Oryctolagus cuniculus: one gene and its partner. The protein of the gene in region 2 purifies or fractionates together with the protein of the main gene of each other region. This does not show direct contact. Links are inferred from orthologs where the notes say so. Each region holds a gene or a part of one and is shown on either strand. Other genes may lie near its edges.

Region 1 (4,065 bases), on a different chromosome or scaffold from region 2:
TCTCTCCCTCTCTCTCACTCTCTCCCTTTCAAATAAATAAGTCTTTTATAAAACACAAATGCCATGAAATTCATTCTGACAATGACCACTGACATAGGCACCTGCGTATAGATAAAATTCTTCTGGAGAATTGGTTATCTGATTTTCAGGGGCCAGGAAGTTGTTTTCAGCTTGGATAACAGGCACATGTCTAGAAAATCTCCAACTATTTCAAGGCTAAATATTATACTTTTAAACAATCCATGAGTTAGAAAAGAAATCCAAAGAAATTTGGGTACTACTGTGAATTAAAAGGAAAACAAAACACATCAAAATTCTGAAATGCTGCTAAAAGCAGTACTCAATGCCTAGAAGGAATAGAGGAGCAGGAGGTGAGAAGTTAAAAGGGTGTATGGAGTATTTTGGAGGTAATGGGTATACATTAGTAGCATGATTGTGGTGATACTTTTCACCTTTGTATGCATGTAATATACATGTCTTTATCAAATTATACCTTTGAAGTATGTATCTTTTTTGTGTATTAATTTTACCGCATTGAAATGACTTTAAACAGATATGTGGCCAGTGGCCATATGATCGGCCAGTACAGCTCAAGTGCAACCACCAAGAGATTACTAAAGGAATGGATAATTGACAAACTAGGAAAGGAATAGGCTAAACCTTCTACGCCATGGCTCCAGCCCCAAATTAAACTTTTTAAAATTACTTAGTTCATCTAAAGGAAGTCAAGAAAGTTGAGAAAAGTGAACCATTGCTGCAAATAGAAAAACAACTAGAAAGATAAGTAAATTTAATTCCAATCTGATCAATAGTTACATTAAGTGAAAATAAATCAAATACGAGACTACATAAAAAATAAGAGACTAGATAAAAAAAAAAAAAAACACACTGCTTACAACAAACATGCCAAGAGTTAGGACACTGAAAATACAAGGATGAAAAAAAGGTGCAGAAGTTAATATCTTGCAAAGTAGAAATTAAATAAATATAATCAAAACTAAAATGAGACATAGACAATGCACACGATGTGGCATAATTATGTGCCTTTCCTAGAAGCTAAGAAAGAAAAGAAGTAGTGCTATAGCTCAACTAACAACCTTGACATGAGTGACATAAGATCCGTTAATCAAGAGACAATTATGTTATATAAAAATATCGAATTGAATGCCAGAAAAGATAGCCTTCCGTATATAAAGTGGTACGAGGAGGAGGACTGGGACGTGAGGTGTAGGGGGACCGCCGTCCCGCGCTCCACTGGTAAATGACTGTGCTGTCTCCTTCTCGCTTAGCCAGAAGATCTGGTGAAACCATTCCTTGCATCCAACAAGAAAAAGCACTATCGCAAGTAATCTATTCCATGCCCACCCTTTGTTATTTTCCCAGGTTGAAAAAGAACATGTGCAGGGAGACTCAGATGTAAAAGAGTATGTCAACATTATCCTAAAATCGCCAGTCTCTGACCAAGGATTATTCTAGAACTTTCCTTACACAGCCTGGGCTTCTATAGCTGAATCATTAACTGGGTGCTTTTGGTGTCTCCTCATGAATGGCATCCATCTGCCCACTTAGGTCCCTCCTGAATGACTTTAGCAATTTTTATCACTTTTCCTATGTATTTGTTAATTTATCTAATTGTAATGGATTCACTTCCTTAAACAACCTACATAAATAAAAGAACCATAAAAGAGCATTTTGTATTATTAGCACAAAGGAAAGAGCAATGCTTGTGTTATAAAAAAGGAACTGTGAAATTAAAAGAAAATTGTGACATTATTTCTCGGTTCTCGCCAGATGCTGTCACACTTCTTTGTTTTGTTTTAACAAGGAAAATTCGCGTGTTTTGAGACATAATGTGATGGCGTAGCATATGACACAGTGATGACAATGGGCTCTCCCCTCTGATGTCAGAGAGGTAGCAAGAGGGGAACTTCTCACTATGTCACCCATGGTCGTCGAACAGTGTGCCCTACCCAGCACCCCAGTTCCTACGTTGTTGTGGGGACACACATGTTAGGGGTCAACGCATTAGCTCCCAGCACAGGCATCAGGAACTTGACTAAATACTGCCCCCACGATTCCAGCACGCAGGAAACAGCCGCGGACTAAGAACCAAAGAGAGCCTGGGTAGGTCTCCGTTGGCACCACTTCCTGCAGCCCATTGTGTCCGGACGGAGCGTGACAGCAGTAACCATCACTTCTCTGCCCTCCAAAGCTCCTCTGGAAATCCCAGGCTCACCTCAGCGTCCACAAGGTCTGAGCGCTCCGGCCGCCAGGGTCAACCTAACACAGTCTGCAAGAGAGTGCCTTCCACGCTGCTCCTGGAAGGAAGAGGAAGTGACAGTGAGTGGAAGCGGCTGCCAATGCCGACGGTGAGCCCCTCCCTTTGCTGATCTGGCCAGAAGCCCACAGCCATTATGGAGAAAATACCTCCAGCTGTGAGTCAGCCGCTGGGGGCAGCCTCCCAGAAGCAGGCGACTGGAGGGGGTGGGGGGGGGGGGCTCTTCCTTTACCATCTGGAAAGCAGTTGGTGTGGCGGAAGGAGCAGGGTGTGCATTCACATTTTGGCTGTGCCCTTCACTTACTGCGGGATGTACAAGCTTCCTTTACTCCGCGGGGCCCGCTCTTTCCACGTGGAAATGACTCCTAGGTAAGGCTGGTGCCGGGCGGTGGGCCGCAGACATAGACACCATGACAGCGCGCAGGTGCTTCCTACGCGCCAGTGGCCTTGCTCACGGTGCCCCTGGGGCAGCTCCTGGCTGCCGTCTTCCTCAAGCTACTGGGTAGGGTTGGCAGACAGGCAGTTCAGCCTGGCTCACCCAGCCCTGGGACCCGCCCAGATCTCTGCGAGCCAGAACCCCAGGACTCTCCCTCCTCTCAACCTTTGCCCAGGTCACTGCCACCCCTGCCAGGAAAGTCCCTCCCCACCCCGGGGCTCACCCGCGTGTGCTCTCACCACTTCTGGGGCATTTGTTTCTCAACGCCTGGCATTGAGATCTGTCGTGCATTAATAGTGTTATTCTATGGAAAACACTCCCCTCCCATCTTCTCCCCACCCCACCCCCCAAATCCCACCTTCCTACAAATAAATTAAAAGAAAAAAAGCAGTAAATTTGTCCCCACATTTATTTGTGTATTTTTAGTACCAATTTTTTAAATATTTATTTATTTGAAAGGAAGAGTTACAGAGAAGCAGAGGCAGAGAGAGAGAAAGAGAGAGATCTTCCATCTGCTGGTTCACTCCCTAAATGGCTGCAATGGCCAGAGCTGGGCCGACCTGAAGCCAGGAGCCAGGAGCTTCTTCTGGGTCTCCCACATGGGTGCAGGGGCCCAAGGACTTGGGCCATCCTCCACTGCTTTCCCAGGCCATAGCAGAGAGCTGGATTGGAAGTGGAGCAGCCGGGACTCGAACTGGAGCACATATGGGATGCCGGCACTACAGATGGCGGCTTTACCCACTATGCCACAGCACCGCTCACAGTACTGATTTTAAAAGTGAAAGCCTCTCCTGTGGCTTTCTCTCTCTCTCTCTCTCTCTCTCTCTCTCTTTTTTTAAGATGTATTCATTTATTTGAGAGGCAGAATTACGGAGAGAGCGGGAAACAGAGAGAGGACTTCCATCCATTGATTCACTCTGCAGATGGTCACAACAGCCAGAGCCGATCCAAAGCCAGGAGCCAGGAGCTTCTTCCAGGTCTCACACATGGGGGCAGGGGCACAAGCACTTGGCCATCTTCTACTGCTTTCCCAGGCCATTAGGAGGGAACTGGTTCAGAAGTGGGGCAGCTGGGACTTGAAGCAGTGCCCACATGGAATGCCGGCACTGCAGGTGGAGGCTTAACCTACTATTCGATGGCGTCAGCCCCCCCCCCCGGGGGGGGGCTTTTTAATACTTCCTTGAGGCCACCACTGTTCCTGTTTTCATTGTTTGTTTCAGGCTTTTTCTCTAGGCTAATAAAGCTTTGACAATTTTTGTTCTGTCACTTTCCAGCTGTGTGACCTTCTGCAACGTCCTCAACATCTCGGGCGATCAGTTTCGTTATCCAGAGAGTAGAGATAGTGATTCCT
Region 2 (3,561 bases):
ATGGAACCGCTCACGCCGCAGGCTACCCGAAGCCCTCGAGGGACACCCGAGGACCGGGTGAGCTTACTGGCCGGGGCATGGAGAGAGGGCACGGCCTACTTCTCACAGAATATTCATTCTCTTGTACTTCATGGTTTTGGTTTTGGGTATCATGATCATACATTAATTACTAAAAATATAAGTGAAGCTTCACAAATAAATAAAATGGCTCTAGGCAGTGGTACTCTCTGTCCTGTGTTTAAAGCTCCAACTCGTGAGGCTGGAATTGACCAATTCCCCGACTCCGCCAGGGCTACGGCCTGCACATCCCAAGCACAGAAGGCTGCCCCGAGCACGGGGCAGACGCGGCACCCTGAGCAGCCCCTCCCTGCTGTCTGGTCCCAAGCACTGTGACCGATCATTTGGCAAACAAACGACGCTCTTACGGATACAGCTGACGCTCTCAGGCTGGGGCCGCGGGGAGATCTGAGTCTCATAGGCGACTTTGCTGTTGTCAAAGAGAAAAACAAGATCCATGTCCAGGGTGCGGCCTTCATTTAGCTGCAAAAAGACAAGAACAGAATGCGATGTCACAGATCGAAGCCTTTCCCCTCCACCTGCTAACGGCGAGGCTGTCGGGGCACCTCCTGCTGCTCCCCTGGCACAGCCTCCAGAAGCCTCCGCTGATGCCAGCCTGCACCTGTCCGAGCGCGTGCTGACCACAATGTGTTACCTTCTAGCTCCCTGGTGGTCTTTCCCGTGCAGCCTGCAAGTTCACTGAGCATTGCTCTATGCAAATGACTCTTTCTCAAGCTTTGCTTTGCTTGACAGGAAGTTGGGGGAGAACAGGAGTGCACACAGGCGCGCTCCCTCTTCCCACTTCCATAGGTTTGCTTCCCCAACGTCTACAGCAGCTGGGGCTGCGCAAGGCCAAAGCTGGGGGCTGGGGACTCTCAATCCAGGTCTCCTGTGCAGGTGGCAGGAAGCTGGACTTGAGCTGCAGCCAGGACTCAAACCCAGGTACTCAAACATGGGACACAGGCACCTTAACCGGTGTTAGGCGGTGTTACCCAGCGTCTTCACCAGCAGGCCAAACGTCTCACCCGCACCCACATGCGTCTACTTCATCTCTGTTGTTGGCTTATGACACACCACACCTTCCAACACTGTGGTGTGTGACACAGCCTCGCACAGACGTAGTCATAGATAGTGCAGGCTGACCCCGAGAAAGAAAGCATCGTTTTGGTCAGAACGGCACAGAAGGCCGCTCCCAGGGGTCTGGAAGCGACACGGGAGGCATGCAGCGATTCGGGCCGCACGGGGGAGCCACACTTAAAGAACAAGGCAGCCCGCGTGACAAAGCAGCCGCGATCTGAAAGTGAGAGGTGCTTCCCCGGGAAGGTCTGCGGGCAGCCGGGGGCTCACCTTGCCGTCAGAAATGCACTGCGTGGCGGGCTTGTCGGGGATCAAGGCCAGACCTGCCTCCTGCAGGAGCTCCTGGTCCTGTTCGGAGATGCCCGTGTCGCTCTGGATTCTGGCCTTTAAGCTCTGCAGGCTCTCGTCCTCTGACACTGGGTAGCTGTGAACGGTGCCCGTGACCATGTTCAGGATGTGAACCAGCTGCAACACAACCCGGATGTTACTGGAAAAAACTGGTCTCCACGGATGCCCATGTTTGCCTAGACCCTCTGCTACTCCCAAGGCTGCCCGGTGCAGAGCGCGGGTCTCTGTGAGGAAGGGGAGCCGGGGCCCCTGTTTCATCTCTTCTCATGTTTAATAGTCCTGTCTGTCCACAGCAAAACCCTTAACAGCGATGTCCATCAGTCAGCACAGGGGTTCTGCCCTCTCCCCTGTGTACAGCCCTCTCACAGGAACCTAAACATCCCCAGGGGCCAGCCCACCTTGACTGGCCTTGCCCTGGGCATTCTTTTGCTTCCGAGCTACTGCGTCCCACTGCGGGCCCGGCCGTGGCCTCGGGGCGGGTGCGGCTCTGCGCTCACCTTTAGGTTTAAGATGTCGTCCAGGGCCTTGAAGCAGCCGTTGGGCCCGTACGTGGGATCCGTGCCCCTCTGCCGGGGATGCCACATCAGCATCAGCTGCAGCCACTTTTCCAGGCGCTGGGCTAGTATGCTGCAAAGGATGAGGGTGTCGGGGGAGAGCCACGGCCAGCGCCAGCCGCCTCTGTGTGCAGGTTACAACGGCAAGCCTGGAGCAGCCCTTAGCCCAGGAAGGTGCTCATACCCCATTATCAGACTGTCGGGGTTTGATTCGCGGCTCTGGCCTCCAGCTCCGGCTTCCTACCAGTGGCACACCCTGCAGAACTGCACTCAGGTCCCTGCCACCCACATGAGAGACTTGGATTGAGTTTCCAGTTCCTGGCTTCAGCCCTGGCTGCTGCGGGCATTTGGGGAGTGAACCAGTGGATGTGGGCTCTCTCATATAAATAAAAACATTCTAAAGGAATTGGCTACATCTTACTACTACATAGATGGCAGCCAATAAACAATTACCGAAAATGAAACTGGATTAAGCAGAGAGCAAAAGCACAAACATTTCCAAGCAATTTAATTACTTAGGTGCGTGTTCCATCTCCCCTGCCCTGCTAACTCAGCCCCCAAATCAACCACTGTCTACAATCTGATTCCTGAGACCAGACCGCAATGCCACTCACACTGCAAAGACTGGCTTGTCGACTACGACACAGTACTAGGCCACAGGAGTGCAAACAGAATGAGCTGTGAGTCCCCACCTTGAAAAGAGTTATCACTGGACAGGAGTCAAACCTGGTGCAAAGCCAGAAGGAACACAAGGCAGAAGTACGAGTGGTATTAAGAAGCACCAGGAAACGATTCTGTGAACCTGCAAAACAGGACTTCTAGGGAGATGAGGGAGGGGAATACATTCTAAACCGACGACTGGAGAGATGATGCCAAATGTTTAGTCCCAGGGTGATATGCTGATAATCTATTTAGAAGTTATCAGGGATAGACGTTCTGTACAGAGTTGTTAAGATGCCACTTCTCTGCTCCTGATCCCAGCTTCCTGCTAAACGCACACCCCAGGAGGCAACAGGGGATGGCTCAAGTACTTGATTCCCTGCCACACACGTGGGAGACAAGGATTCAGTTCCAAGCTCCTGGCTTTGGACTGGCCCAGCCTTGGCTATTACAGGCATTTGAGGAGTGAACCAGCAGGTGGAAGATCTCCTGTTTGTGTTTCTCTCTGCTTTTCCGATAAAAATGAATACTTTTTTTTTTTAAGTTATCCGATGTCATCTCAGACTTGTATTTCCTTCTTTTTTTTTTTTTTCAAACTTGTATTTCTAAAAGAAGGAAGTAAAATAGGTAGAAGAATAAACCACTGTGTTTACCTGTTAAGATTGTTGGGGTAGGGTAAAGAGCTGGAAAACTTCACTGCACCGTTCAAGTCTTCACTAACGACAATGTCCATCTCACTCTTCTGCCGGACTTTCGAGTGCCTGCAAACGTGCAATCCCTCACGTCACTCAGTGGCCAAGGGTCAGCTCACCTTCGTCAACTGTAACTATGCAAGAAACGCACGCCCCCACCCCCGAGATGGGCA

The links.
Region 1: the proteins of IKBKB (region 2) and CASP8 purify together in Homo sapiens (affinity purification with western blotting; 3 studies listed by BioGRID and IntAct, with this or other methods). This does not show direct contact. The link is inferred for Oryctolagus cuniculus from reciprocal best matches to the Homo sapiens genes IKBKB and CASP8.

The regions. Positions count from the first base shown.
Region 1 is NC_091434.1:38,736,357-38,740,421, forward strand, and holds the start of CASP8 (caspase-8), read right to left. Parts: upstream 2,801-4,065; 5' UTR 2,583-2,800; intron 2,370-2,582; exon of another isoform or gene 2,319-2,369; 5' UTR 2,237-2,318; exon of another isoform or gene 2,066-2,236; intron 1-2,065. UniProt on the Homo sapiens protein: Thiol protease that plays a key role in programmed cell death by acting as a molecular switch for apoptosis, necroptosis and pyroptosis, and is required to prevent tissue damage during embryonic development and adulthood.
Region 2 is NC_091433.1:92,503,103-92,506,663, reverse strand, and holds part of IKBKB (inhibitor of nuclear factor kappa-B kinase subunit beta), read right to left. Parts: intron 3,458-3,561; coding exon 3,350-3,457; intron 2,110-3,349; coding exon 1,980-2,109; intron 1,600-1,979; coding exon 1,405-1,599; intron 541-1,404; coding exon 426-540; intron 1-425.